3 linked regions of the Stegostoma tigrinum genome follow. The protein of the gene in region 1 interacts with the protein of each later gene in a pairwise test. Links are inferred from orthologs where the notes say so. Each region holds a gene or a part of one and is shown in the gene's direction. Other genes may lie near its edges.

Region 1 (7,667 bases):
AAATGCCTTGGTGAGTCATTGCACGCTGAGATTCAGTGATGGGAGACAGGCTTGTTGCGACTCAATAGCCTCTTCTTATTCAGAGATTAGAACCGTTACACTCAATGTCAAAGAACTCCCTCTCTTTGCTGAATTCTCAATTTCCGAGACATTGACAACAACCACTGAACAACAGTATTGCACACTGGGCAAGTGGGCAAGATGTTGGCTTTTAAAAATTCAGGCTAAGAATAAATGTAAGTTGGTGTGTGACCGAACTCAGACCGTAAACCATTAGCAAATAATGAGCAGACAACACAAGACTCAAAGATACAAATTGATTTGTACTTCACCCATTCACTGCATTAACAGGCAGGGACTTTGTTCCTCTCTTGACTTTCCCTGAAACGGTGATTGAAGAATATCTGCAGACTGTAAATAATCCTGAAAACATGCCTTCACATTGACTAACTCCTAATAAAGCAATCCACTTGAATGGAGGACTTTTGAACAACATTTTCAGAGCTCATCCTAAATGGATGACATGATGGGGATATATAGTCCCAAAACAGAACAAATAAAACTGTGTTCCACATGTAATGGGGGTTTAATGTGTTAACAGCTATTTTTGAGAGTGCCATCAGGGTGAAAATTTAAATTCTCCTTCTCACTGAGGAATGTGGCACACGTTACATGAACAAAAATACTTTGACAAAGTATTTCATTGATTGAGAAGCACTTGGGAACATGTTCAGGGCCTAAAACAACAAGACAAAAACCAATTAATTCTTTCACATCTGCTAACTCCACTGCACAGATCTTGCTTCCAATAATAGCTGCCAAGATATAGTTCCATTTCACCAAGAGTCCCTGCACAACATATTTAAATTAATGTTTTAAAAAGCATCTCATGGCCAAGCTTTCTCCTTTCCTATTATCCCCAACTTCTGATTAATAAGATTCCAGTGTAGTGTCAACGCCATTCACACTAACATCCTGGAACCCCCATCTTGATCATTCTGTGGCTGTTCCCACATCACATGGAGTGCAGGAGATCACCACCATTGGCTGAAGGGCTATTTTATTTCTCAAACAGAGGCTGGTGCATGTATGGAATGAGCTGCCAGACGAAGTGGTCGAGGTAAGTGTAAATTGCAACATTTAAAAGACATTTGAACAGGCACATGAGTAGGAAAAGTTCCAAGTGATTGGGCCAAATGAAGGCAAAGGGGGTGCATTCCGTTCAGAATACCTGGTGAATGAGTTAGACCAAAGGGTCTATTTCCAATGTGTTTGACTCTATTATTAGGGAGGGATGATAAATGCTGGCCCAGCCAATGTCACTGCCATACTAAGACCATGAAGACAAGAAAAAAGAAATTATAAGCTTAGCTCAGAGACACGTTTCTCACATGGATGGAGACAGTCAAGTCAAATTTGCTTGGCTCTAACATGACAGAAGCAGTAGAGAGCTATACTATAGAGTTAGCAGTATAAAGCTAGCTGCAGCCACTCAGTGAATAAATAACACGGCTGAGGGGATAAATTGGGTTACAATAGGTCCTCTTCACCAAGCAGTTACTTCTCAAAGGCACAGGACACTGAAGCTCCTGTCTGGCCCCAACTGGTTAAGTTCTTATGCCCTTCATTTTTCCCCTGTGAGCTCTCACCCAGACAAATGTTTGTCGAGATTTGTTCGTTTAATAGGGGCCGCATTGTAAAAAGGTCTTCTCTCAGCAACGCAGCGACATATCAGCATTCACTGTTAAAGCTGATGGCCTAGATCAATGTGCCATTGGTTATATTCACATCAGCCCTCCCTCATGATGCAGGGGCTATTTGGATACAGGAGGCTTTCTTGCTTGTTAGCTTCTGAGTACAACCACCAGCTAATCTTCTTCTGCTCACTACCAGTGACCTGAAATTACCAAGTTATCCTGCAAGGCTTGTGAAATGCTTGTGCCTCTGTGTGCCAAACCCAGTTTCCCCATCTCTCTCCCAGCCACCCTGCCACAACCACGTGATCCTCATCTAAAATTGGTCAGGCTGCCTTTTTGTCATTCATCCAAGTTGTTCCTGAAATCTCTGTGTATGGCAAACCCTAGGAATCAGGCTGCAATCCTTGTCAATCATAGGTGGCCTGTCAGTATGTTGGTCACCCACCCTCAACGTCAGCCATTGGTCTGCTCACTGGGTTCTACAACATCTGCGATGCAAGGAACAGATTTTCCCAGTGGAACACTGAGGCAGGTTTTTAAATTCATTGGTTCAGGAAGGCTGGGACAGTTTGAACCTTCGTCAAGCAGTCTATCCTCATTTCCAATACAAAGACCTCATGTAGCACCTGTGTGGGACACTGGTTTGGCAGGGCACAACAGAAGAAGTTAAAGGCTGAAATATTTGTTAGACGATGCAAGCTTATTGTCTGGGTGGAAATGGGAGGAAATCATTCAGCCTGTCCCACAAACCATTCAGATGTCGTAGTCAGGTTGTCACTGAATCATGGAATCATACAACATGGGAACAGAACCTTCAGTCCAACTTGTCCATTCCAACCAGATTTCCTAAATTAATCTAGTCCCAGGATTTGGCCCATATCTTTTCATCTTCAGACACCTATCCACAAGCTCATTAAATGTTGTCATTGTACCAGCTCCTACCACTTCCTCTGGCAGCTCGTTCCATACATGCACCACCCTCTGTGTGAAAAAGTTGCCCCTTTTTCCCCTCTCACCTTAAACCTATGCTGTCTAGTTTTGGACCCCCCTCCACCCTGGGAAAAAGACCTTGGCTGTTTCCCCCATCCATGCCCCTCATGCTTTTATCAACTTCTACAAGGTCACCCCTCAGCCTCTGACATTCCACAGAAAATAGCCCCAGCCTATTCAGCCTCACCCTATAGCTTGCACTCTCCAACCCTGGCAACATCCTGTTAAACCCTTTCTGAACCCTTTCAATTTTAACATCGTCTTTCCAATTGAAGGAAGACCAGAACTGAGTACAGTATTCCAAAAGTGGCCTCACCGATGTCCTGTACAGCCACAAGGTGATTATCCAACTCCTAGACTCAATAACACTGACCATAATTTGTCATTCAGATCCATCTCCCCTCCAATGCCCACATGTGGTCAGATCGGTTTGGAGGAGCGAGACCATTGCTGGCTTTCCAGGACCACCTATGCAAAGAATTCATTCTTGAATTGCCCATTTCTGACTGTAAAGAGATCTCCCACTATTTTAGCTATCGGAGTAATGACAGTAGTCAATCTGTCTGTCTTTGCAGTGTATGGAATCTCTTTATAGGCTTTCAAACACCTCAGTTGAAATTTTTCCTGAGTCTATGGCACAGCAATCAAGATTCTCCTGCTCTGAAGCCTGGTAATGACCCTCATGGGGGCAAACAAAGTACTACTGGGGGTGCCATTCAGACCAGAGAGAAATACTGCAAAGCATCACCAGCAAGCGATATTCGCAGCTGAAGATAAAAAAGGAAAGGTCCAGATAAATTATTCCCTCAGCCAGGAGAAAGAGGCATGGGGCTGTGCAGCAAAAAGCAGCAAGGTGGGCTCTGGGATGAGGAAGGGTATGTTGGAGCTGTACAGGAGTTTGGTTAAACCACAGCTGGAGTACTGTGCAGCAGCTCCAGTCATTTCACTGTAAGAAGGAATTGATTGCACTGGAGAGGGTGCAGAGGAGATTCACCAGGAACATCCTGGGCTGGAGTGATTCAGCTACCAAGAAACAAAAAATTGGGATCCTTCTATCTGCCTCCCCCTCTCTCCCTATTTATTCCAGAATCCCCTTCCCCTGCCCCATTCCTGAAGAAGGGTCTCAACCCGAAACGCCAGCTTTCCTGCTCCTCTGATGCTGCTTGGCCTACTGTTTTCATCCAGGTGTACACCTTGCTATCTGGGATAGGGTGGGGTTGCTTCTCATTCAGTAAGGAAGCCTGGCTGGGAGGGTTAGGGATGGATCCGAATGAGGTGTACAGAGTACTGAGGTCCGTAGACAGGATAGATAGAGAGAAATGTTTTCCCCTATCGCCGAGGGAGGGGTGACGGGGGTGGGTGTCGATAACAGGAGACACAATTGTGAAGCAAGGGGCCAGGAGGGGATTTGAGGTGAAGATTTCTCGCCCTCCCTAGCTCACTTTAAGGGGCCCTGAAGAAGCGAACGCTTGAAATGCCACAGCAGACAAGGCTTGGGAGGGAGGGTGAAGTGGATGGGGGGGGGGTGGGTTGGGGAGGGGGCAACTGCTGGGAGATAGGATTCCTCCAGCATTCTGGATGTGAGTTTGCTCGCTGAGCTGGAAGGCTCGTTTTCAGACGTTTCGTCACCATTCTAGGTAACATCGTCAGTGAGCCTCCGACGAAGGCTATTCCTCCAGCATGTCAGGCTGTCTGCATGCCTTGGCAAACTGGCGTTGAGTGGCAGTGCTTGAAATATACCCCAACTCGCTACAGTCAGTCCCGCAGCTTTCCAGGCACGGTGGGAGTGGCAGCATATTTTTTTGCTGTCGAGCAGGACGGCGGAGGAATTGGGGGGGAGGGGGAGGGGAGGGTCTCCGGTTCGCTGTGGGCTGGGTCTGCTATAAAAGGGACCGTGCAGAGCGCTCAGAGCACACTCGAGCGAACGAGCCCAGCCATGAGCACCGTCAGCTACGAGTCCTACTTCCACAGGAGGCGCTATGGAGACAGCGCAGCGCCCAGGACCTACGGAGCTGTCCAGCATTTCAGGAGCAACTACGGCGGTAACGTCAAAGCGGTGTACAGCCCGTACTCCAGCCCGGCGTTCACGGCCAGGAAGGCCCACAGCATCTCGTCGGCCCTGGACAACTTCGACCTGAGCCAAGCCAGCGCGGTGAGCAGCGAGTTCAAGGCGGTGAGGACCCAGGAGAAGGCGCAGCTGCAGGAGCTCAACGACCGCTTCGCCAGCTTCATCGAGAAGGTCCACGAACTGGAGCAGCAGAACAAGGTGCTGGAGGCCGAGCTCTCCCTGCTCCGCCAGAAGCACGGCGGGCCGTCCCGCCTCAAGGGCATCTACGAGCAGGAGCTGCGGGAGCTGAGGTTGGCGCTGGACGACGCCAGGCACGAGAGGCAGGCAGCCCAGAGCGAGAGGGACCACTTGGAGGAAAGCGTCAAGAACCTGCAGGCCCGCTACGAGGAGGAGCTGCTCAACCGGGAGGACGCCGAGGGACGCCTGATGGAAGCCAGGAAGGGCTCGGATGAAGCGGCGCTAGCCAGGGCCGAAGTGGACAAAAGGATCGAGAGCCTGATGGATGAGATCGCGTTCCTGAAGAAGATTCACGAGGAGGAGATCGCCGAGCTGCAGGCTCAGGTCCAATACGCCCAGGTGTCCGTGGAGGTGGACGTGGGCAAGCCCGATCTGTCCTCTGCCCTGAGGGAGATCCGGTGCCAGTACGAGAAGGTGGCAGCCAAGAACATGCAGTCCGCCGAAGACTGGTACAAGACCCGGTTCGCCGTGCTGGCCGAGAACGCTTCCAAGGACAACGACGCGACCAGGCAAGCCCGGGACGAGGTGATCGAGTACCGGCGTCAGGTCAAAGCCAAGACCCTGGAGATCGACGGCGTCAGGGGAATGAACGACGCCCTGGAGAGGCAACTGCTGGAACTGGATGAGAAACAGGGCGGAGAGATCAGTGCTTTACAGGTAAGAGAATGGAACCTGGACCAACAGGGTAAAGGCCGATACGGGGCTGGGAGCGGGAAAGAGAGAGAGACACACAGAGGGTCCAGCGGGGAGAGACCGAGGGAGAGATTCTCACACAAACAGCCAGGATCTGTGGCAAGGGGGGGCAGAGAGAGAGAGAGAAAAATGGCGGAGGGAGTGTGTGCGAGTGGAGGGGGGAGAAGAGAGTGTCATTTAGAATCTAGTTCAGTCAAAGAGGACGTGGGCGCTGACCCTGAGATCAAAAAGAGAACAGAGCAGGAAACGACAGAGAGAAACCCAGGGGCTCTCTGACAATCTCTCTCCTCCCACCCATGTCCCCCTCCACAGGACGCCATCAGCCAGCTGGAGAATGAGCTCAGGACCACCAAGAATGAGATGGGCCGCTACCTGAAGGAATACCAGGATCTACTGAACGTGAAGATGGCCCTGGATATTGAGATCGCTGCTTACAGGTAGTTGACGGCGGTCCCCCGGTTATGGGTGGGACTGGTACAGGGACGGGCCGCTGGGAACTTACGCCCCTTTTCCCACGGATGGCAGTGTCCCTTCCTTGATGGGTGGAGTGCCATGCTTCTGCCTGTTTGATTAACCAGCCGGGACGTGGGGGTGGGGGGGTTGGGGACGGCTTGGTGAAGAGGACCGACCATTCGGCCCTTCCATTCTAGACCTCAGCCCCACCCAGAAGCCGGTGACAGAGCCGCTGGGTCCAATGGTACCAGCCCCTCTCCCAGCCCTTTGCCCACACCCCACCCCTCCCCTACTGCAGGGGGCTGCATTGCACCAGTAAGGTGCGCCGCAGGGGGGCGTATCCACACAGGTCTGGCGCAGTCTTTCAAGTAGCCTGAGGGTGTGCCAAGTGTGTTCCAGAGGAGAGCCCCGCAGGCTGAAATACACCATTTCAATCGGGAAGGGTTGGTCTGGGTTGGGGTGCGGGACAGAGGCCGAGGGGGTGAGATGGTTGAACGTGACAGCCTCGTTGTGTCAGGTACGTGTTAGCCTCCACTGTCTCTCACTGTAAGGCCAACATTCCCATCGTAGAGCCCCGCAACGTGGGGTTTCACAGGCGCGGTGCGGGGGTGGGGGGCGGGCGAGGTTGGTGACGATTCTGAAAGGCTTTACTCAGTGCCTTTGCGGGGTAGAACAGTGAACAGCTGAAGCCGTGAGCAGGGTAGGAACAGTCGAGCTAGACACGAGAAGTGGGCAGTTCGAGAAACAAAACGGGCTGAGCGGTTCCTGCGTCGAACGCGCACATTCACTGGTGTAACTCCCGAAAGGAAATGTGCAGTAGATAGCAATATACAGCGACACTTCAAAATAAACTACCTGACCAGGCTGCGGGGAAAGAAAAAGGAACTGCCCCCCCCCCACCCCCTGACTATGTACGGACACAGGCACAGCGCCATGTCATTGTACAAGCCTGCAGCACGATTCTGAAATGCTCTCACCGCGTTGCTGTTCCGCCCTCAGGAAACTGCTGGAAGGAGAGGAAACACGCATTAACTACGCCAATGTGGGCAGCTTGATCGGTAACTACGCCCAGACTGCCACTGCCCCGGTCTACAGCCGCTCGAGTTACTCTCTTCAGACCAGTGCCTACGGACTGTCCAGCAGACCCGTACTGTACAGTTCCTACGGCAGCAGCAGTCAGATAGAGGAGGAGGAGGAGGTGGTGCAGCAGACCCGCGCTTTGGCAGCACAGCTGGAACCCCCTGCTGACAAGGCAGAAGACATGGAAGGTAAGAACTTTCTCTCCAGGCCAGCAGCTCAGCACCGAGCTGCCAACTCAGTCGCTGGCACACCCCAGAGCCAGAAGGGGCGGTTTTGAAGTGGCACTAGAGGGTACTGCTCCCAAATCAGTAAGTGTAAGAGAGTTGAACCATTGTAGGAACGTCCCTTAATTGAGATGTGAAACTCAAGACCCTTCTGGTCTTGCAGTGAACATCAAAATAGTGTCTCACTCCTCTTTCATCAGAGAGCAGAGTAGATCTGTCTCCTGT
Region 2 (8,069 bases), on another chromosome or scaffold:
ACTGACCCTCCGACAGTGCGGCACTCCCTCAGCAGTGACCCTCCGTCAGGGCCCACTCCCTCAACAGTGACCCTCCGACAGTGCGGCACTCCTTCAGCACTGACCCTCCGACAGTGCAGCACTCCCTCAGCACTGACCCTCCGACAGTGCAGCGCTCGCTCAGCACTGACCCTCCGACAGTGTCTCCTCCCACAGCACTGACCCTCTGACAGTGCGGTGCTCCCTCAGCACTGACCCTCCGACAGTACCCACTCGCTCAGCATTGACACTCCGACAGTGCCCAATCCCTCAGCACCGACCCTCCGACAGTGCCCACTCCCTCAGCACCAACCCTCCGACAGTGCCTGCCCCCTCAACACCGACCCTCTGACAGTGTGGCGCTCCCTCAGCACTGACCCTCTGACAGTGCCCACTCCCTCAGCACTGACCCTCCAATAGTGCCCACTCCCTCAGCACTGACCCTCTGACAGTGCCTGCTCCCTCAGCAGTGACCCTCCGTCAGTGCCCACTCCCTCAACAGTGACCCTCCGACAGTGCAGCGCTCTGTGTTTAGGTGAAGACTCATTTTGCATATTCGAAAGCCATCACGTTAAGTGCACCTGAGAATTGTTGGAGAAATTCCAATACTGGATTTAATAACCTGATGAGCAATGTTGCTTCTTGAAAGGAAGAGATTTCTGGGTTTTATTTTAAAGCAGGAAATGCCAATTTTACATTGCTGGGCTCCACATAGCCCCAGCTGTCCTGTGGTGCTGAATATCATCCCATGGTGCAGGGCAGCAGCTAGGATTCAGTTTCACTTTGTTCGGGAGATTGCTGACCTATTTCAGGTTGTCATGGAATTAAAGAAGCTGTTCCACTGGCTGCTGAAATACAAGACAATTTCCACAAATGTAAAACGTTTCCATTCTTGTTCTGATTTGTAATCATTGTATAGCCCCCTTTCTTTGAAATCTCCTTCACCCAGGAAACCTAGGATCGTCTAACTCCAGTCCAATTTTCACCCTAAGTATTAATCACTTTCCTCTTAGCACCTGCCCCTTCAGCTTCCCAGGCCTATCTTTCAGACAACAGCCTTACAGTGTCGTTCATTGTGACTGTCCAACTTTGACTGTCTTTGGTTACAGCCACCATCTTGGTATGACTCACGAATCTCTTTGCTTGTTCTGATTTCACAGCTCCCAGCCTGTTGCCTCTATAGCTTCCTTCTTGCTCGATGCTCCTGCTTCTGTAACACAATCCACCTCTCGATATCATGGCCCACCTTAAAACCCCTGTTCATCTTACTTTAATGCCATCTTCTGCCACCTGTTGAGCAGTTTGTTCTCTGAATGTGTTTGGTAGCATTTAAATGCAAGTTGTTGTTGTAAAGCTAGCACTGACTTCTGGTTGAGCATTTGACCTGCACTGTTCGATCGGGCTAACTATGACCTTGAGAACCAACAAAGTGCTTCATGGGAATATTTTTGAAGAAAACTCATTAACTGTAACAGGACTTCAGGCAAACAGGTGAAGTGCAACAATATCATGAATATGTACACAGTTAAAGCTCTCAGGTGAGAGAGACAGAGATGCCATGGGGGCTTTGAAACAGTTGAGCTATGAGATCTGAAAGAACTCAAGTGGCTGTGATTCAATATCAGACTCAATTGTTGGATTTAGTGTTTGCCCTTGCCAGGGAAAAGCACAACCCTCACTGGGCTATGGGCTCCCCCTCCCCTCCTGAAAGTGCTGACCCTCACTGGGTTACCAAGTCCCTCACAAGAGTGACCATCGCACAGTCCCTGTGGAGACCAAGTCCTGCCTTCACAAGGAGAACGACCTCCAGCGTATTGCGTGGCACTATCACTGTGCTAAATGGGACAGACTTCACACAGATGTAGCAGCTCATTCTGGGCATCCATGAGGCACCGTGGGCCATCAACAGCAGCTGAACTGTACTCCAGCACAATCTGTAACCTCATGGCCTGGCACATTCCCTACTCAACCATTACCATCAACTCTGGTTCAATGGAGAGTGCAGGAGGGCATGCCAGCAGCAGCACCAGGCTTACTTGAAGATGAGGCATCAATCTGGTGAAGCCAACAAACAAGGATTACTTGCACACCAAACAGTGAAAGCAGCAAGTGATAGACAGGGCTAATCAATCCCACAACTGATGGATCAGATCTAAGCTCTGCAGTCCTGCCACATCCGGTGGCGAGTAGTAGAGGATGATTAAACAACTCACTGAAGGAGGGGGCTCCACAAACATCCCCATCCTCAATGATGGAAGAGCCCAGCGCATCAGTGCAAAAGATAAAGCTGAAGCATTCGCAGCAATCTTCAGCCAGAAGTGCCGAGTGGATGATCCATCTTAGCCTCCTCCAGTGGTCCCCAGCTTCACAGATACCAGTCTTCAGCCAATTCCATTCACTCCACGTGATGTCAAGAAACAGTTGGAGACACTGGATACTGCAAAGGCTACGGGCCCTGACAACGTCTCAGCAATAGTACTGAAGACTTGTGCTCCAGAACTTGCCACTCCCCTAGCCAAGCTGTTCCAGTATAGTTACAACACTGGGATCTACTCGACAATGTGGAAAATTGGCGATGTATGTCCTGGAGATAAAAAGCAGGACAAATCCAACCCGGCCAATTACCAATTACTGTCATCAGAGGCAAAAATGGAAGTTGCCGGATAGGCTCAGCAGGTCTGACATCATCTGTGGAGAAAAAATCAGAGTTCCACCAGGGCCACTCAGCTCCTGACCCCATTACAGCCTTGGTTCAAACATGGACAGAACAGCTGCATTCCAGAGTGAGGTGAGAGTGACAACCCTTGATATCAAGGCTGTATTTGACCAAGTGCGGCATCAAGGGGCCGTAGCAAAACCAGAATCAATGTCTATCAGGGGGCAAATGCTCCAGTAGTTGGGGTCATACCTGACACAGAGGAAGATGGTCGTGATTGTTGGAGGTCAGTCATCTCAGCCCCAGGACATCTCTGCCGGAGTTCCTCGGCCACACAAATGCCCCAGGACATCTCTGCCGGAGTTCCTCGGCCACACAAATGCCCCAGGACATCTCTGCCGGAGTTCCTCGGCCACACAAATGCCCCAGGACATCTCTGCCGGAGTTCCTCGGCCACACAAATGCCCCAGGACATCTCTGCCGGAGTTCCTCGGCCACACAAATGCCCCAGAACATCTCTGCCGGAGCTCCTCGGCCACACAAATGCCCCAGGACATCTCTGCCGGAGTTCCTCGGCCACACAAATGCCCCAGGACATCTCTGCCGGAGTTCCTCGGCCACACAAATGCCCCAGGACATCTCTGCCGGAGTTCCTCGGCCACACAAATGCCCCAGGACATCTCTGCCGGAGTTCCTCGGCCACACAAATGCCCCAGGACATCTCTGCCGGAGTTCCTCGGCCACACAAATGCCCCAGGACATCTCTGCCGGAGTTCCTCGGCCACACAAATGCCCCAGGACATCTCTGCTGGAGTTCCTCGGCCACACAAATGCCAAGCTATAACCATCCCCAGCAGGCAACAGCCTAATCACTGGCCCTTACCGTTCAATATTGTTACCATTACTGAGTTTTACACTATCAACATCCCAGGGGTTACCACTAACCAGAAATTCTACTTCCACATAAACACAAGACCAGGTCAGAAGCTGGGAATACTGCAGTGAGTAACTCATCTCCTGCCTCCTCAAAGCCTATCCACCATCTACAAGGCACAAGTCAGGAGTGGGATGGAATACTCCCCACTTGCCTGGATGGGTGCAGCTTCAACAACACTCAAGAAGCTTGACACGTTCCAGGACAAAACAACACACTTGATTGGCACCACATCCACAAGCATCCACTCCCTCCTCCACCAATGTTCAGTCGCAGCAGTGTGTACTTTTTACAAGATGCTCTTCAGAAATTCATCAGAGATTCTTAGACATTATCTTCCAAACTCACAACCACTTCCATTTAGAATGTCAAGGGCAGCCACTACATGGAACACCATCATCTGCAAGTTCCCCTTCAAACCACTCACCATCCTGCCTTGGGAAAATATGTCGCTGTTCCTTCACTGACACCTGATCAAAATGCTGGAATTCCCTCCCGAAGCACTTTGTGGGTGCACCTACTCCAAATGGATGGCAGTGGTTCAAGGAGGCAGCACATGACCACCTTCTTGAGGGCAACTGGGCAATAAATGCTGGCCTGGCCAGTGAAGCCAATGTCCCACAAATAAATAACAACAAATTTTGAACATGCCCAGCAACTTTTCACTGTCTACCCTCAAACCTCTTTGTTCAAGTCTGTGTGTTTCTGTGTGTGCGCGCATGTGTGTCTGTGTCTTTATGTCTGAGTTTCTGTATCTATGTGTTTGTGTGTGTGTGTGCGTGTGTGTGTGTGTGTGTGTGTGTGTGTGTGTGTGTGTGTGTGTTTATCTATGTGACGCCCTGTCTTTGTGCCTGTGTGTGTGGGTGTGTGTGTGAGTGACACCCTGTCTTTGTGCCTGTGTGTGTGTGTGTGTGTGTGTGTGTGTGTGACGTCCTGTCTTTGTGCCTGTGTGTGTGTGTGTGTGTGTGTGTGTGAGTGACGCCCTGTCTTTGTGCCTGTGTGTGTGTGTGTGTGTGTGTGTGTGTGTGTGTGTGTGTGTGTGTGTGTTTATCTATGTGACGCCCTGTGTGTGTGGGTGTGTGTGTGAGTGACGCCCTGTCTTTGTGCCTGTGTGTGTGTGTTTATCTATGTGACGCCCTGTCTTTGTGCCTGTGTGTGACGCCCTGACTTTGTGCCTGTGTTTCTGTATCTATGTGAAACCCTGTGTGTGTGTGTCTGTCTGTCTTTTTCTCTGTTTCTGTATGAGTTTCTCTGTCTTTGCTTCTGTGTGTTTCTTTGTATCAGTCTGTCACTGTCTCTGTGTCAGTGTGTTTTTGTCAATGCCCTATTAGGAGCAAGCCTAGACTTGCTTGTGAACTCAAGCTTCCCTCTTCCTGCCAGATCTCTGTGTTGGGTTGTTTCGCAGTGTGGTGTGGGATAGCTGTAATCAAAGCAGTTGCCATAGTGAGGAAAGGAAGCTGCTCAATGATGTGGGGAATACCAAGCAAATGGCCTGAAATTGAGACAAGAATAGTGAAAAATGGAAGTAGGTTTTTCATTCTATTTGTTTTCCTACAGGTACCCTCGCCTCTTGATGTGCTTACACTCATCTGCCACATATTTCTGCAGAGTTCTGTCTTAGAAGATCTGTTTCTTGTATTGCCTTGTATTGCCTTGCATTGCCTTGTATTGCCTTGCATTGCCTTGTTGAATTTGTTTTGCACACATTGTGAAGCTGTCAATGCCGCATGGAATAGATTTAAACACTCGTAGCACAGGGACAGCATGGGGTTAGATACACAGTAAACATCCCTACACACTGTCCTCATTAAACAGGGATAACACAGGATTAGATACGGAGTAAAGCTTCCTCTACACTGTCCCCGTTAAACACTCCCAGAACAGGGACAGCATGGTATTAGATGCAGAGTAAAGCTTCCTCTACTCTGTCCCAACACAAGTTGAAACCACCTGATGGTTCCAGTGTGATATTCTCTTTCCTGGACCACCCATTCTTTTACAGAGGTTTTGAGCCATCTTCCTATTCTAGAAGCAGCGCAGGAGACAATGTGCTTGTGGCCTGAATCCATATTGAATCACCATCAAGTGGCGCTGTGGTGTTCTGTGTTTGAAGATGAAGGAAGGTGTTGGAGTAAATTAAATACATTCCCACAACAAAATCTGAATCTTCCTCCTCAGCAAATTTTTCAAAGTTGGTGAATCGCCTCACCTTCAATGGTTTTTCCCTCTCCTGCACAATCCTGAGTGAGGGCTGATGCTGATGTAGAGCAGGCAGGGTGAGTGTACAATCTACAGGCAGGCTACAGTACAGGGACAGGTTTTGTAAATTTGGAGTTTGGGAGACTGTGTCAATACATTAATCTAACACGAGGTGGCAGAATCTGCCTGAGAGTCTCTCACACAGGGAGCTACTGGAGAACAGCCTGTAAACATGTCCCATTTGGTAATCACTTGGAAATCCGTTCTGTAATCTCCACATTCTTACCCGTAAACATTTTTGGTGAACAGACCTGTCCACCATATCCTTCCTCTAGAGCAGAATGACAACTTTGTAAACTTTTTACTGGCCCCTGTACTTGAGTACAATGACAATAAAACTTAATTCTAATTCTTCCCTTACTCCTCTTCAGGCTCAAGTAAAGCCATTATCCAATTGAATGCTGAAAACATTCTACTGAATGGAGCACATCCATCAGGCCTGTATTTCAAAAGCAGCTCCTCCTCCCCGCCACCACCCCCACCCGCCCCCCCCCCCCACCTTGGAGAGTCAGTGTTGAGGGATTCACCCCCTCCATCCCGTGGAGGGTCAGCACTGAGGGATCCCCTCCCACCCCCCTTGGAGGGTCAGCAGTCAGGGATCCCCTCTCCCCTCCTTGGAGGGTCAGCACTGAGGGATCCCCTATCCCATCGGAAGGTCAGTCCTGAGGGATCCCCTCCCCCCCCCCCGGAGGGTCAGCGCTGAGTGATCCCCTCCCCCCTCGGATGGTCAGTGCTGAGGGATCCCCTCCCCTCCTTTGTAGGATCAGCACTGAGGGATAACCTCCCCTCCCCTTGGAGGGTTAGTGCTGAGGGATCAGCCCCTCCCCCCTTGGAGGGTCAGCACTGAGGGATCCCCGCCCCTCCCCTCAAAAGGTCAGCGCTGAGGGCTCTCCTCCCTCCTTGGAGGGTCAGCAATGAGGAATCCCCCCCCTCCCTGGAAGGTCAGCGCTGAGTGAGCCCCTCCCCCTTCAGAGGGTCAAAGTTGAGGGATCCCGTCCCCCCCTTGGAGGGTCAGCACTGAGGGATCCCCTCGCACCCCCCCCCGCCCCGGGAAGGTCAGCGCTGAATGATTCCCTCCACCCTCAGAAGGTCAACACCGAGGGATCACCTCCCCCGCCCCCCAGAAGATCTGTGCTGAGGGAACCCCTCCCCTGGAGGGTCAGCACTGAGGGATCCTCTCCCCCCACGTCAGAGGGTTATCGCTGAGGGATGCCCTCCCCCTTGGAAGGTCAGTGCTGAGGGATCCTCTTCCCCCTAACCTTGGAGGGTGCGTGCTGAGGGAGTCCGTCCCTGTCACAGCTCAGTGCTGAGGGAGGTGTTCTCTTTCGGATAAACACCTGCTGGATCCTGCCTGGCAGATATATGTAAAAAGAACCCAAGTCTGTTATTTTGAAGAACAGCTTCAGTGGCTCTAACTATACTCAGCTGGCTGGGTGGTTGGTTTGTGAAGTAGAGTGATGCCCACCGTTTGAGTTCAGCTCCCTCCAAAGAGATCCTTCAGCGCTGACCCTCAACTCCCACCCTGGCTGAGGTTACCACAAAGGAGTCTCCTCTCAACCTCCCCCCTCACATGAGATATCTGACCCTCAAGTTAAACCACCCCCAGTTGTCTCTCTCTAAGGAGAGAGCAGCCCAATGGAAGAACAGACAATGCTGGAGTCAGTGATAACATGGAGCTGGAGGAACACAGCAGGCCAGGCAGCATCAGAGGAGCAAAAGAGTCAATATTTCAAGTCTAGACCCTGATGAAGGCCTGAAGCATCAACTCTCCTGCTCCTCTTGTACTCCCTGACCTAATGTGTTCCTTCAGCTCCACACTGTATCAGCTCTATGGGCTGGTAAGACTGTGGTAACTCCCACTCATTTGTCAATAGTGATGATGTAAATATTTACTTTGATTATTGCGTTATTGTCACACTTTTGAGATTGTGAAAGGTGCTATAGGAATGTACATGTTACTTTGGGTGGAGGCTCGAATGCTGGTCAGGCTAGTTGACCCCAGAAGATTGAAGTGTGAGCGCAAACAAGCATTTCAGTAACAGTTTTGCTGTGTGGAGACAGTGACATTACAGTGTCCGCTGAGGGCCAGTCAGGTCACTGGTCTGATTTTACTGGAAACGAGGCCCAGGCAGAGTGATTAACAGCTTAGGCAAGAAGTTTCTGTTCATAGTTCAGAATTAACAATACATTCAACCTACATAT
Region 3 (7,861 bases), on another chromosome or scaffold:
CCTTCTCACTGACAAATCACCACTACTCCCATCCTGCATCCACCTATTACCATCCCACCTATTTTCCCCCAGACCCAGCACCCCTTAATTATTTGAGTTCGCTTCCCTGTCCAAGTCCTGAAGAAGGATTTAAACCTGAAATATTGACTTTCTTGCTCCTCTGATGCTGCCTGACCTGCTGTGTTCCTCCAGCTCCACACAGATACCACGGTGATGCAAATCTTGAGTTGGAGCCTCTGAGCCCTTAACACGTGTTTCAGAATTTGTTGCTTCTCAAGCTAAGTTGTTCCATCACAATGTGCAAAATTGCCCAGGTATGTCTTGTGTACAAAAAGGAGGACAAAACTAACCCAATTACCCTCAATCAGTCTACTCTTGATCATCAGTAAAATGTTGAAAGGTGTCATCAACAATGCTATCCAGCAGCGTCTGTTCAGCAGTAACCTGCTCACTGATGATTTGGAATCCACCAGGGCCAGCCTTCATTCAAACATAGCCAGAGGTGAGGTGGGAGTGACATACCATGACATCAAGGCTGCATTTGACCCAGTGTGATATCATGGAGCTGTAGCAAAAGTGAAATTAATTGGTATCAGGGGTAATCTCTCGACTGGTTGGACTCATTCCTGGCATATAGGAAGATTTTTGTGGTCATTGGAACTCAGTCACCTAATCTCCAGGGCGTCGCTGCAGGACTTCCTTAGGCTAGTATCCTAGGCCCAATCATCTCCCGCTGCTTCATCATGACCTTCACTCCCTCATAAGGTCAGAAGTAGGGATGCATGCCACTAATTGCACAATGTTCAGCACCATTCACGATTCCTCAGACAATGAAATGGTCCATGTTCAAACGCAACAAGACCTGGATAATATCCAGGCTTGGGCAGACAAGTGGCAAGAAAAACTTATGCCAGGCAATAACCATCTCCAATAAGAGTTGATAAAATCACCACCCTTGACCTACAATTGTGTTACCATCATTTAAACACCCCCTGTCAACATCTTGGGATTACCATTGACCAGAAACTCAAGTGGACTTGCCACATAAACACAATGGCCACCCCAGCAGGTCCAAAGTTAGGAATGCTGTAGTGAGTAACTGACTTCCTGACTCCGCACAGCCTGTCTACTATTTACAAGACACAAGTCAGGAGTGCAATGGGATACACCCCACTGGCCTGGATGAGTGCAGCTCTAACAACACCGAAGAAGCTTCATACCTTCCAGGACAAAGCAGATAGGTTGACTGGCTCCACATCCACAAGTATCCACTCATTCCACACTGACGCTTAGTAGCAGCAGTGCGTATTATCTACAAGATGCACTGCAGAAATCTATCAATGATCCTTAGACTGCACTTTCCAAGCCCATGACGATTTGCATCTCAAAGGGCAGAAGAGACGTGGGAAAGTCACCATCTGCAACTTCCCCTCCGAGCCGCTCACCATCCATTTTGGCAAATATATCATGGTTACTTCACTGTTATTGGGGCAAAAATCGTGGAATTCCCTCCCTAAGGGTATTGTGACTCAAACTACAGCACATGGACGACAGCAGTTCAAAAAGGCATCTTACCTCCACCTTCTCAAGCACATATAGGAATGGGCAGTAAATGTAGTGTTCCTCCAGCTCTACACTGTTATCTCTGACACCAGCAGCTGCAGTTCTTACTATCTCTGGGCAATAAATGCTGGCCAGCCGGCAATGCCTAAATCCCACAAGTGAAAAACACAAAAACAGAAGCATTGAGTCTGTACTGCCAGAAGGGTTTTGAGGTCAGAGTCATATACATGTTTGTAAGACGATGACTTTGTTTCTCTGATAAGAGACTCAGTCAGTTTGATATAACTGTGAAGACACAGGCAATTTTTTAGGATAGTTAACTGGCTGTCTGACACCTTTGGAAGCTTTGCGATGTCAGAAACCCATCATATATATATTCAATTCAGAACATAGGAGTAAATTAAGGTATAAAATGACAGTGTGATTGTAAAAGATTAACAGCCCTGAGGCCGAGAGTTCAATCCTAACAGCACAGTTTCAGTTAATCTATGCAAGTAAATCTGTGAGCTAGCATCAGGTATAATGACAATGAATACTGCACATTATAAAGCCCAATGTTTTTGTGATAAGGGAGCTGTATTCTCAATGTAACTCTAACACCGCAGCATGTGGTTGACTGTCAAGCTTCTGAATAACTGGTCATACTGTGGACCCGCCAGAGTTTCCCACATCCTGAGAACTGGTGGAAAATACTTCGGTTTAGTTCTGAAAATACGATTCATATTTATCTTGAAACATTAACTCCCTCCATAGATGCTGCCATCCTGCTGAATTTCTTCATCTTAAAGATTTCAGGGCATTATTTAGAATTCTTCCATACATTTATCTCTCAAATCAATACCTTAAAACAAATTTTCTGGTCATTATCAGATTTCTCCTTTGGTAAAATGGTCCTGTTTTCTGTGGATAGACCCTTGATGACAAACTGTGTTCGGGCAAACCATATTACCAGTTCACAAAGTAGTCCTCAAATGAATAGTAATGACTAATTGGTTATTAGCTGTAGTCTATGAAGGACAGTAAGAATCTCTCTCTCCATTAGAAAGAGACAATTGGTTAAGCTTGAGGGACATCATCGTATCATCGAGTTACACAGCACAGAAACAGACCTTTCAGTCCAATTCATCCATGCAAACTGATTTAGTCCTATATGTCAGCATTTGGCACATATCCCTCTAAATGCTTCTACTCCTACAATAAGAGAGTCATAGCGTGGTACGGTATGGAAAACAGACCCTTTGGTCCAATCAGTTCATGCCTATCATGTTTCCAAGCTAAACTAATTCTACCTACCTGCACTTGAACCATATCCCTCTAACCCTTCCTATTCATGTACCCATCCGGTGGCCTTTTAAATGTTGTAATCGTACCCACTTCTACCACTTCCTCTGGCAGCTCATTCCATACTCTTGTGAAAATCTTGTCCCTTAGTTACCTTTCAAATCTTTCCCCTTTTACCTGAAACCTATTGCCCTCTAGTTTTGGACACCCCTACCCTGGGAGAAAGACCTTGGCTATTCAGCCTACTCATGCCTCTCTTGATTTTATAAACCTCTGTAAGATCATCCTTCAGCCTCCAACACTCCAGGGAAAACTTCATATCATGTTGAAATTCAGGCAAATGAAACTCCACGAATACCACAGCTGGTACAGATCCATGCTGTTGGTGTCTTTCTGTACCACATCCTAGCCATCTAACCAACTGAATTAACTGACTTTAACCATGAAAAAATGCATGCCTGAACTATTAATGGTTATTCAGGTTCAGATCAGGACCCATCTTTCACCAAGCTCACTATAGTCAGTCAATGGGTGGAGCTTGGCAGATTCAATTTAGTAGTACTGTAGAAATCACTGAACCAGTAGACATTATGTACCATAATAATAAATAATATAAAAAGAAAGGGTGCAGGAAAAAAATATCTCAGTCTAGCAGCACTGAGCAGAAAAAGATGAAGGCTGAGGTTATGACCTAAAGTTCAACTTATTTCAAAATCTTAGTTTGTTTCTTCATCCCTTCAGATGGTTTTACGCACTTGTTTGTCCTTACCTTATAAAGAACCTCTGTTTCTTCACTATGTGCGTTACCAGCTGTAGCTCATCTTTATGGTCATCCTGGGAATAGGATCAAAACCAGTCAGTAATCTCAAATGGGTATGTATTGGACTGTACCATCCTCTCTCACCTTTTTGGTTTGGAGGAAATGGTCAAATTGGTCAGTGGAAGATTAATCATGCGTTAAAAAACATACCTTTTCTCTGTAGGCAGGCCCATGAAATTGAGGATGTTTTGCTTCCATTTTGTTTCAATGGATATTGCAGACATTTTTTTACTTTTGCGTGGGTGCGGACATCAGGGGCAAGGTCAGCATTTGCTTCCCATCCCTAACTGCCCTCAAATTGAATGGCTTCCCAGATCATTTCAGAGAGAAAGTAAGATTCAATTTCATTGCTGTGCATCTGGAGTCACATGTAAGTCAGGCCAGTTAAGGATAGCAGATTTCCCTCCCTGAAGCACATTAATGAACAAGATGGGTTTTTTCTGTAATTGCTGATGGTCTCACAGTCATTGTTACTAATACTACCTTTCAATTCCAGATTTTGTGAACTGAATCTACATTCTGCCCATGCTATTAGAATCATCCCAACAGAGAATCATTCTCTTTATTTACTAGTCTCCCCTAGCACTAAGCCACCATCTTCTCCCAAAGCCTCTTCCACATGTGGAGTAAGTAGTGCTTGAGCGAGTTGCTGGGTGGATGGTTTTATAATTATGTGGCTAAGCTACGTCCCCAGATGAACACTGGCTGTATCTTATAATTGTGATTGTCCACTGGAACCATTGGTTTACTTTGGTGCATTCACTGCCACTAATCTTTCTTTGTTGGATTAGTCCCAGATTTTAAAAAACAAGTGGGAGAGGATGACCACTCAAGCTTTTCTGTAGAAGAAGGCTATAGTCTTGAAATAAAGATTAAAGATTTATTACATAATACTGACTGGGTGGTTATATTACATGTAATATGTTTTTAGGGAGGTAATGGTAATATCACTGGACTAGCAATCTTTCAGAATAAATTTTAAAAAAATCATTTGAGTGATTGCGAAGGTTCTTTGGGATTTCCAGAAGTGGTGAAGGACGCCACTGTGTCAACAGATAATAATTTACCTGCATTCTTTGCAGTCGGGGTGTCCCTTTAAGGGCAATGTGGTCAGGTGACCGGGCGTTCAGGGTCGGAGACTGTGAGTCAGCGCTCCGTCTCGCCGGCTGCGTGACGTCGGCGTTTCCTGAGTGGGCGGCGGTGACGTCGATGCTTTCTGTGCGGCGGTGCTCCGCGGCGAAGCGAGGGAGACAGACAGACAGATAGACGGGGCACGACAGTCTGTCTGTCTTTGTCACACAGCCGGTCCCCGGGGAGGTGAGGATTGTCAAAGACGCCTTGAGGAGCACTGCGAGTAACAAAAGCGGGAGAATTGTGCGGGTGTGGGAAGAGGCGGAAGGAAGGAAGGCCTCTGGGAAGAGGAGGGGGTTCCGAGTATTTGACAGGTCCCCGGGACAGCGAAGCGGAGCGCTCGGCCTGTCAGCAAGCACCAACCCATCCGGCACTGGGACTGTGTAATCATTGACATACAGTGGTTATATAATTATACATACAACTCAGAGATACATGTGAGGGGATATTAAATTGAAAGCGGCCTGGAGTCTGGAACTGTCAGTCCTCAGTCGCCAGGACTCCCTCTCTCCTTTTTAACCCCCCTCCCCCACTTCATTTACATTTCCAACCTGCTTTTGGATTAGAGAAGCCGCCGTCGATCTCAAGAAACAGGCTGTCCTCCCCCCGCCCCCACTCCCTGGGGGAGGCAAGATTTCAGTCAGCAGGCCCTCCCTCCACGTTGCTGCAAAGGAGCCGAAGTAGGGTGGGAGAGAGAATCGTCGTTTCATCGAGGAGAGGGTAGCGACGCCTCCCGATTTTTATTTCTCTCGTTCACTCTCCCAAAGTAAGGGGCTTCATGCCAGTCTTCAGTGAGTCGCACCAGGCGTGCCTTGGATCGACAATGTGTTAAATTCAGTCGCGAGAAAGAAAAGAAATTTAAATTAGGAAGACAGAAGTACGGACGATTTGCCGTGTCTTTGGCACATCCCACGTGAAATAGTGGTTTGGATCCAAGTGTTTTTCTGGTTAGAAGGTGTATTTCCTCCCATCTGGCGAATGACCAAATCAGTGCTGAGAAATTTCAAACGAGTAGAAGGTTGGTTCGCCACCTGCTGAGCAGATCGTGTTTGTGTGTGTGGTTTTCGTTACTCGTCTGAGTATTGGCAGCGGAATCGGACTGTACAACCCGGCACTGTGGTGGGATTAATTTGGCTGGGATGTGCAAATGTGGAATCAGTCGAAATTCGGATTTTGCCTTGATTAGCTTGGTGATATAGAGACTTAAGACATTGTTCACAACATTCTAATTTCTACCAATGATATGTGACCAGAATGTATTGAAATGCACGACGACCATCGTGTGCTAATTTTGTAGGCGACAGTCATTTAATCTAAAGTTGTGCCTGGATATATAAATTGGGGGAAAAAAAACTGGTACGTTTCCCAGTAGCCATGACAAGTGTACAAGGAGCTATGAGAGTGATGGATGGAGTTAACTTGGGTGAAGTGATTGTAAAAAAGGAGCCAGTATATGACGGAGTGGGAGAACGAAGCAACGTGGAAAAGGAGTTTGATGGTAGAATTACACATATGCTCAGAGCCCCAGGAGTAAAGCTAGAAAGTGGACAGGGCCTTGGAGTGGAGGAGACAGCGCACACAGATGTGTGTGTGCCCAAAGCTTGCCTGTTGTCAGGAGTTCGTCCATTGGATCTTAACCCTGCTCTCAAACACACATTGGCTCAGTTTCACTTGAGCAGTCAGAGCTCTCTGGGTGGGCCAGCAGCATTTTCGGCACGTTGTACTCAAGAGTGTATGTCGCCAGGGGGGCTAATGCCCATGACATCACCCCCTGTGCTGCCAGGACCATTGCTTATACCCTCAGACAGTTCAACTGAGCTCACGCATACTTTATTGGAAGGAGAAACTATCTCCTGCTTCATGGTTGGTGGGGAGAAGAGGCTGTGTTTGCCACAGGTCCTAAATTCAGTTCTGCGAGATTTCTCTCTTCAACAGATCAACACTGTCTGTGATGAGCTGTATATTTATTGCTCAAGATGTACGGCAGAACAGCTACAAATTCTCAAAGTCCTAGGCATCTTGCCTTTCAATGCTCCCTCTTGCGGACTTATAACACAGACTGATGCACAGAGGTTATGTAATGCCTTGGTTCATGCAGGCATACTGCCTCCAGATGCCAACAAACTCCCTGGCAAAACATGCCTTGCCCAGTTACAGAGCACTGGTTCCAGTTTTGAAGTAGAACATTGGTGTCTTGGGAAATGTCAAGGTCTGTTCGTGCCGCAGTTATACAGTCACCCTGATGCTACCTGCATTCAGTGTCTGGACTGCCACATGATGTTTTCACCCCAGAAGTTTGTCCTGCATTCGCACAGGTCTCCAGACAAGAGAACCTGCCACTGGGGCTTTGATTCAGCTAAATGGCGCTGCTATGTGCAACTGAGCCGTAAATATGCAGAAACATCTGAAGAAAAGTTCTTACAGCAATGTTTGGAAGAAATGAAAGACAGATTCAACCTCAATAACCAGCGAAAAAGACTGCTTCCAAAGGTAAGTTCCATTTTTCACTTGAAGGAGAATTTTGCTGATGATATGTTTCTGTGAACAAATATTTCCTGGTCAATACTTACCTCTCGACCAACCTCAGTGAAAACAAATGATCTGGCATGAATTTAATTCCTGTATGTGGTAGATACCCTGCATTTTAATACTGGATACTACGTTGGCTGTTGAATACTGAGATGCCTAAACAGTTGAGATAGTTAATGTGAGACCTTTCTTTTTTCCAAGATATCTTAAATCTGTGTTTTGTATGGGGTGAGTGGTGCATTGGCTTAAATGTAGTGATTTTGACATCTGAGAAATCATTCAAATTCAACCGGACTGATGGGACCAAAAAAAATGTCATCTCTACTCGTTGCCTAAATGGTTGCAAGTGAAAAAAGTCTCACTCCAGTTCCAGATGAGCCTCCAATACAAAACTGGCCATAATTTTACATTGACTGACAATCTTCCTAAGACCACAGCTTCTGGTTTAGAAAATAGAAAACACAGTATCACTCTGGTGTAATTGTAAGTACCCTGTTGTCTTTGGGATTTAGACATAATAGGAGTATATAGTGTGAC

What was found. The genes of interacting proteins can lie anywhere in the genome.
Region 2: the proteins of neflb (region 1) and ubiquitin carboxyl-terminal hydrolase 2-like interact in binary tests that used the Homo sapiens proteins (3 or more experiments, as listed by UniProt). The two-hybrid records come from large-scale screens. The link is inferred for Stegostoma tigrinum from reciprocal best matches to the Homo sapiens genes NEFL and USP2.
Region 3: the proteins of neflb (region 1) and ski-like protein interact in binary tests that used the Homo sapiens proteins (3 or more experiments, as listed by UniProt). The link is inferred for Stegostoma tigrinum from reciprocal best matches to the Homo sapiens genes NEFL and SKIL.

Annotation. Positions count from the first base shown.
Region 1 is NC_081393.1:5,042,601-5,050,267, forward strand, and holds the start of neflb (neurofilament light chain b), read left to right. Parts: upstream 1-4,601; 5' UTR 4,602-4,623; coding exon 4,624-5,649; intron 5,650-5,997; coding exon 5,998-6,122; intron 6,123-7,137; coding exon 7,138-7,406; intron 7,407-7,667. UniProt on the Homo sapiens protein: Neurofilaments usually contain three intermediate filament proteins: NEFL, NEFM, and NEFH which are involved in the maintenance of neuronal caliber.
Region 2 is NC_081385.1:1,061,251-1,069,319, forward strand, and holds the start of ubiquitin carboxyl-terminal hydrolase 2-like, read left to right. Parts: upstream 1-5,064; 5' UTR 5,065-5,072; coding exon 5,073-5,133; intron 5,134-8,069. UniProt on the Homo sapiens protein: Hydrolase that deubiquitinates polyubiquitinated target proteins such as MDM2, MDM4 and CCND1. Isoform 1 and isoform 4 possess both ubiquitin-specific peptidase and isopeptidase activities.
Region 3 is NC_081367.1:61,088,118-61,095,978, forward strand, and holds the start of ski-like protein, read left to right. Parts: upstream 1-4,856; 5' UTR 4,857-6,169; coding exon 6,170-7,285; intron 7,286-7,861. UniProt on the Homo sapiens protein: May have regulatory role in cell division or differentiation in response to extracellular signals.